2 linked regions of the Rattus norvegicus genome follow. The protein of the gene in region 1 interacts with the protein of each later gene in a biochemical or structural test. Links are inferred from orthologs where the notes say so. Each region holds a gene or a part of one and is shown on either strand. Other genes may lie near its edges.

Region 1 (3,749 bases):
TGGCGCGCTTGGGGTTCATTGGCTCGGAGAGACGCAACTCAGGCAAGAAAAACCCGCCTCCCACATTCCGATGGCCCAAGGACCGGTTGGTAGGCAGCTATAGGAAGACCCAATTGGCCTATACACTCGCCAGTCAAACGCTTCGGCAACGCAGCTTCACCGAACCTGCAAGGATAAAACATCCCGCCCCAGTTGTCCTATTGGCTGGCCCGACCCGTCGCGGCCCCTTCACCGTCGTCTCCCCCCCCCCCCCAGTTCAGCGGTCCATTCATTTCGTACAATAACCGGTGCAATTGGAGCAGGTTCAAGATCTCGTACGGGTAGACAAGACTCTGCCACTTACCCGGGATCTAAAGTGATCACTCACACTAAGGCCTGCACGGTTCCTCTGTGGCAAAGCGGCACCACAAGCCACCGCTACCGCCGCCTTCTGCGCAATGCCAACCGCCCGCCAAAACGGATCCTTCCCTGCGCCTGCGCAACCAATCCCGGGCTTGGACCTTTTCTCCGCCCAAAACGCCTGCGCAAAACAGAACACAGGTCCCTCCACTACGCAGGCGCCTACGAACCTCGTATCCCTCTCCCGCCCGCCATTTCACGTGTTCCAGACAGCAGGCGGAACTTCGTACTGCGCCGGCGTAAACTCGCCATTTTTATTACACATGCGCTTTATAGCTGGGAAAAGTCGCGGCGAACTACTTTCTAACGTATCGTCCTTTGCCGAGTGAGTTTGTAACATTCGGGTGTGGGGAAGGTATAAAACACATTTAAAGACGTGAGTACATTCAAATATAAATTACTGGCTAGCTAGCCAATCAATGTGGTTAAGAATAAGATCCCTTGGGGCGTCAATGACTCAAAGGGGCGGGGACTGAGTAGAACGCCCAAACGGATGCCGTTTCTTAGCAGGGCGTTTTTACAGGCCAATGGTGGGAGGGAACAATTTCAAATCTCCAATAAGACTGAAGCAAGGGCGGAGTCTACCAATGCCGAAAGCGAGGAGGCGGGATAAAAGGGAGAGCAGAAGGTAGGCTGCCGGACACGTTCGCTATCTTATTCCTTTCTGCTCTTTGACGCTGGCGAGGAAGCATCGCTGAACGCTCTCATCATCCTACCGTCATGTCTAAGTCAGAGGTGAGTTGAGCGCGCTCTGCAGCTTCGCTTTCTTCCACACTTACTGAATATGACGGGATGTGACCTGTTTTGTCGCTGGCTCCCGTGCTTTCGGTGTTTGATCGATTACTGCTGAGGCCTACTTTAAAAAATGCAGGTCGCCATTTTGTCCTCATAGTCACCATGAGGCTGCGATCCGACAGCCATTAGTTTCTACGCACTGTTCCTTTTGGCAGAATTCTTACACTTAACGATCTGGGGTTTGTGGCCTTTTTTTCGTTTTTCCCTATCTGGTCTAATGATCTCTTGTTAAAGAGATACTAAGTCTTAATGGCGATGGACCAGACCAACCTGTGTCTTTTGTTGCGCCTGCGTATGAAGTAACAGGACGCATGCGCCGCGTGCAACTCGAGTCCCCAGTCAAGCCCAGGAAGGAGCACGTGGTCTTGTGCAGTAATAAAGAACAATAAAAAAGTGTGGCGTGTGTTGATGAATGGTGTTGATTCATTCGCCCAAGTTTCAGGCCCTCCACTAAGCCCCCTCTTTCCCCCACTTTATTTTAGTCCCCCAAGGAACCGGAACAGCTGCGGAAGCTCTTCATTGGAGGGCTGAGCTTCGAAACAACCGACGAGAGTCTGAGGAGCCATTTTGAGCAATGGGGAACACTCACCGACTGTGTGGTAAGATTTAAAAAAACAAAAGGAAGAGCTGCCTTATTTCTTCTGATTTAACCTTGACGCTTCTTAGCTAAATGTTTTGTGAAGTTAATTAATGGGATACTAAAAATCATCGTTGTGGAGCTTTGCTAACAAGATCTGTAAAAGAGCTTTTTATTTTCTGACTCTGGATGGAGTTTCATGTTTGCAGCGCTCTGACTAGGAATGACTTTTTGGCTTTGTGATCAGGCACTGTGTTGATTGAATTAACTCTAAACAGGTAATGAGAGATCCAAACACCAAAAGATCCAGAGGCTTTGGGTTTGTCACATATGCCACTGTGGAGGAAGTGGATGCTGCCATGAATGCAAGACCACACAAGGTGGATGGAAGAGTTGTGGAACCTAAGAGAGCTGTGTCAAGAGAAGTGAGTGGTTTTTCCTAATAGCTGGTTCTTTTTTAACCTGAGATTGTAATGGGGCAGATCTCAACTGGGAGATCCTCCCTCCTGAGTGAAATTAAAGGCATGTGCCACCACAGGTGTCAATCATTTAGGAATGTGCTGCTACTAAATAACTGGAGTCATTTTTCCTTTTAGGATTCTCAGAGACCAGGTGCCCACTTAACTGTGAAGAAGATCTTTGTTGGCGGTATTAAAGAAGACACTGAAGAACATCACCTACGAGATTATTTTGAGCAGTATGGGAAAATTGAAGTGATTGAAATTATGACTGACAGAGGCAGTGGAAAAAAGAGGGGATTTGCGTTTGTCACCTTTGATGACCATGACTCTGTGGATAAGATTGTTAGTAAGTATCAGAGGATTACATTTTCCTTTATGATTCTGGAGTTCACATGTTTTTTTAAAAGTCCTGAATTTAATTTTTCCTCTTAGTTCAGAAATACCATACTGTGAATGGCCACAACTGTGAAGTAAGAAAGGCTCTGTCGAAACAAGAGATGGCTAGTGCTTCATCCAGCCAGAGAGGTGTGTTTATTGCTTGGTTAGACTTGGGGTGAGGAGGACACTGTTAGTTATTACAGGTTAACCTAATGATCCAAAATTTCTTTTAAGGTCGAAGTGGTTCCGGAAACTTTGGTGGTGGTCGTGGAGGTGGTTTCGGTGGCAATGACAATTTTGGTCGAGGAGGGAACTTCAGTGGTCGTGGTGTGTATGGCTTTGTTTGGCTCCTTGTTGGTTTTAGAACTTATAACTAGTAATTGCTACCCTGTGTCCCCAGCACTTACAGGTTTTGATATTTGATAAGTATTCATTCACGTACAAAGCCTGGTTTAAAGCTTTGGTTTCTTCCAGGTGGCTTTGGTGGCAGCCGTGGTGGTGGTGGATATGGTGGCAGTGGGGATGGCTATAATGGATTTGGCAATGATGGTAAGTTTCTTAAGGAGTCTGTAAGGAGTGGTTTCTGGCGACCTCTACCTTTAGAATAGGCTACTAGAGACTAAACCTAGTGCATGACAAAGTTCAGTCAGCCCCGTAAAATGCATGCCCTGAGCAGCCTTTAGCTATTTAACTTGCGTAGATTTTTCTTGTTAAATACTTTTGTCTTATTGAGAAGACTTGTATTCTTGTAGGTGGTTATGGAGGAGGCGGCCCTGGTTACTCTGGAGGAAGCAGAGGCTATGGAAGTGGTGGACAGGGTTATGGAAACCAGGGCAGTGGCTATGGCGGGAGTGGCAGCTATGACAGCTATAACAACGGAGGAGGCGGAGGCGGCTTTGGCGGTGGTAGTGGTAGGTATCCAGTGACGCAGGTACTTGGTGCGGAGCTAGATGAGACTTCCAGGGTTTATGCCCGTCTCAGACTTCACGGCTGGCTCTTAGAGCATTGTAGGTACATTGCATGGTGCGTGCAAATAGGCTTGCTATGCTACCTCCTCCTGGCTTTAAGCTGGGGCCGCCTCCCCCAAAATGAGTAGGTGGATGAGTGGTTAGTGTCTTCCTTCCACATGAGGTAGTTAG
Region 2 (3,749 bases), on another chromosome or scaffold:
AGCTGGGTACCGAACACAGGGCCTTGTGCTTGCTAGGCAAGCACTTCTCCTTCTCCTTCTCCTTCTTCTTTTTTTGGAGCTGGGTACCGAACCCAGGGCCTTGCGCTTCCTAGGTAAGCGCTCTACCACTGAGCTAAATCCCCAGCCCTCAAGTCCTCTTTTTTATAACCTAATTCTTCAGTGCCCAGCATCTGACCCTCCCTCCACAGGCAGAGATTACAGGCATGTACCACCAGGTATGGTTTATGCAATATTGGGGATCAGGAACACCCACTCCTTTTTCCAATTCTAAAAACTTGGAAATAGTTTCAAGGTCTTCCTCATCTGCAGAGCGAGTTTGAGGGCCCGTCTGAGATACACTTGATCTTGTCTGAGAAAGGCAGCAAATCGCTTGAAAGCATTTTTCTAAATGCTCAGGGGCTTCGTAGATATTAAGAACTGAAGTGTATCGGCAAGACTGGATTCTCTCACTTTCATACAGCCGGTGACCAGTGAAGGCTGAGTGAATGAAAACTATGTGTGAACCGGATGTGGTGGCTTTAATCCCGGAACTCAAGAGGCAGAGGCACATAGAGAAACCCTATCTTGAAAAACGGGGGAGGGAGAAACAGGGGCAGAATGAAAAAGGGAGGAAGGAAGAAAGGAAGGAATGAGAAAGAAAAGTGGAAATAAGTCACGTATAAAACGAGAGTTAAAGCCTACGTCATGGGGTTGGGGATTTAGCTCAGTGGTAGAGCGCTTGCCTAGCAAGCGCAAGGCCCTGGGTTCGGTCCCCAGCTCCGGAAAAAAAAAAAAAAAGAAAAAAAAAAGCCTACGTCATCCTGTCTCCACTTAGCTCTGCCGGGTCATCTGAAAACCACGTGGTCTATTTAGCTGGAGTTTCCGGTGACCTCGCCCCACCTCCAAACTCAGTACTTGTGCATTGGCTGAAGTATTTTGTCCCTTGGGAGGACCCGTAGCTCCAGCCTCCCGGTGTCCGTAGCCGGGAAACCTGGCGTCCGGCGTTTTAGGCTGAGGTCCGCGATGTCGAGTGAGGAAGTCCGGCACCGGGCAGAGTCCTCTGAGGCCCGTGCGGCCGCGGTCAGCGACATCCAGGAGCTGATGCGACGCAAGGAGGAAATCGAGGCGCAGATCAAGGCTAATTACGACGTCCTCGAGAGCGTGAGTGTGGCAGACAGGATGGGGAGGCCTAGTGATGAGGCTTGGGGTTCCTGCCAAGCAGAATCCTAGGGGGCCTTTGCTGCGGGCCAGACGCCGTTTTTAAGTACTTTCCCCTGACGTGGGATTTATTTTCATTTTCGGAAGCATTAACTTTGCATTTTTAAGCTTCTTGTTTGTTTGTTTGTTTTTAACGCAGCCCCAAGCTGGCCTCGAACTCGTGATCCTTCACAGACTTGTGCCACCGTGGTAGGCCTAACGCATTAGTTAAACTGCCTTGGTCACAGGGATAGAATATTTGCTGAGGCATAGTGATAATCGCCACTGTCACCTTCTATAGGTAATGGTACAAGGTTTGGTGCGCCTTGTACCCCGCTTTTCATTAGGACTTTTTAAGTGTCAACTGTGAGAATTAACTGGGCATCTTGTCACATTGCATGTTGTAGCCAGGGAAGACATCCTTATTTAATCCCAGCACCTGGAAAGTGGAGGCAAGAGGATCAAAACTTCAGGGTTATTCTTGCCTACACAGTAAGCTCGAGGCCAGCCTGGGCTATATTAGACCTTGTCTCAAACATACAAACAAACAAAGTAAAAATAAAATGCAGATTCCAATTGGGGTGGGGAAAAGACTCTGTATTTCGGGATAACTCCCACCTCTGCTACTAAGGCTCCTTTGAGTAATGACAGATAAAGCGCATTACCCTTACTGTAAATGGGGAAACTGAGGCCCAGAGTGGAGCAGATGCACCAAAGAGGCAGTGGTTGGCTCAGTGATGTTTATCTCTTAAGCAGATGTATTTTTCTTAAAACCACAAGTCAGTTTGTAGAGGAAGGGGAGGCTAAATCACACTCAGATAGGCTGGGTGCAATGACTCCTGGGGGACAGGTGTCACATAATGGATCCTCTAGAGGTTCTATATGCCAGGTAGGTGCTGACCATATGCCTGAAAGGTAGTATCTTGTATGTGTGTTGTATCAGGAGATTGTCACAACTCCATTGTTAAGTCGTGTGTGTCCCTGAAGCTCAAAGAGGCAGAGTCAGGGGCTGGAGAGATGGCTCTGAGTTTAAAGACACTGGCTGCATAATCGTGAGAACTGGAGTTCAAATCCTGCACTCACCGTATTACAATTCACGTGTCCCACAAACACCTGTAACTCCACATGCTCGGGGATACATTTAAACAGACACAAATCTCTTTTAAAAAATAATAACCTCTGTGTGTGTGTGTGTGTGTGTGTGTGTGTGTGTGTGTGTGTGTGTGTAAGTAAGAAGTCACTTGTTTTAAGTCACAGACCTCAGGGCTGGCAAACCTTAGACCTGTACTGAAAGTAGGTAAAAAGCAGTTTTTGTTTTGTTGATCGAATAAGTATTTCTCTTTGTAGCTCTGGCTGTCCTAAACGCAGAGATCCACCAGGCTCTGCCTCCCAAGTACTAGGATTAAAGGCGTGCACTATCCCCGCCTGGCCAAAACTCGTTTCTTTTTTTTTTTTTTTTTTCTTTTTTGGTTCTTTTTTTCGGAGCTGGGGACCGAACCCAGGGCCTTGCGCATGCTAGGCAAGCGCTCTACCACTGAGCTAAATCCCCAACCCCCAAAACTCATTTCTTAAACTGAAGTTACTTGCCTACTCAAGGAGAATCATACACCTCACATATTGTCTTTTGGTATTGGTCTATTCTTTACTATTTAGCTGGGTGCGGTATTGTATACCTGCAACCTCACGGGAGCAAAGGCATGGAGATTGCCGCACGTTCAGGGCCAGTCTGTTCTACACAGAGAATTCCAGTGAAACAGCAAGGCCCCGTCTGAACAAACCAGCGGTAGGTAGAGGAGCTGGGGAGCTACTGTCAAATGCATCCCTCACACACTCGAAGACCTGAGTTCAGTCCTTAGAACTCATGGGTATAGTGGTCCTTGTCTGTAATCCCAACTGGACAGGCAGAGACAGGAAGATCCCCGGGGTTTATGGCCAGCCAGTCTAGCCTGTGTGACGAGCTGTAGGCTGGTGAGACTCCCTGTCTCAAAGGAGGTAGACAGTGTTCCTGCGGATGCCCCCTTGAGATTATCCTGCGACCGGCTCATTGCATGGCATGCATATGTATGTGCACACACAGGTACCCCTGCATGCATACACACAAACACATGCATTAAAAACCAAATAAGAGGAAAAATTATAACTGTGCTGCACAAAATCTGAGGCTGTTTTCTCTTAACTGTAAGGTAAGAGTGTATGCTAATTGCTTTGACTAACTTGGTTTTTGGTTGCTGAGGGCTTGAAGCTTAAAAGTCTGCTCTGATTTTTAATTAATTAAAAAGACAGGCTCCCAGCTGGGTGGTTGTATCTCACTTCTTTAATACCAACACTTGGGAGGCAGAGGCAGACGGATCTCTTGAGTTTGAGTTTGAGGCCAACCTGGTATACAGAGTGAGTTCCAGGACAGCCATGGCTACACAGAAAACAGAAAAACAAAACAGGGAAAAAAAAAAAAAAAGACAGGCTCTCAGGTGTTCAGCTTAGACTACATATGTGAGACCCAGTCCCTCCCCCACATAAAAGTAAAAAGAAATTATGAAAGGAAAATGATAAAT

What was found.
Region 2: the proteins of Hnrnpa1 (region 1) and Psmd9 interact in a test that uses a peptide from one of them, tested with the Homo sapiens proteins (3 studies listed by BioGRID and IntAct, with this or other methods). The link is inferred for Rattus norvegicus from reciprocal best matches to the Homo sapiens genes HNRNPA1 and PSMD9.

What each region holds. Positions count from the first base shown.
Region 1 is NC_086025.1:136,253,040-136,256,788, forward strand, and holds the start of Hnrnpa1 (heterogeneous nuclear ribonucleoprotein A1), read left to right. Parts: upstream 1-1,078; 5' UTR 1,079-1,119; coding exon 1,120-1,134; intron 1,135-1,178; exon of another isoform or gene 1,179-1,536; intron 1,537-1,676; coding exon 1,677-1,793; intron 1,794-2,049; coding exon 2,050-2,196; intron 2,197-2,367; coding exon 2,368-2,578; intron 2,579-2,664; coding exon 2,665-2,757; intron 2,758-2,844; coding exon 2,845-2,937; intron 2,938-3,084; coding exon 3,085-3,159; intron 3,160-3,362; coding exon 3,363-3,521; intron 3,522-3,749. UniProt on the Homo sapiens protein: Involved in the packaging of pre-mRNA into hnRNP particles, transport of poly(A) mRNA from the nucleus to the cytoplasm and modulation of splice site selection.
Region 2 is NC_086030.1:39,015,479-39,019,227, reverse strand, and holds the start of Psmd9 (26S proteasome non-ATPase regulatory subunit 9), read left to right. Parts: upstream 1-963; 5' UTR 964-1,023; coding exon 1,024-1,161; intron 1,162-3,749. UniProt on the Homo sapiens protein: Acts as a chaperone during the assembly of the 26S proteasome, specifically of the base subcomplex of the PA700/19S regulatory complex (RC).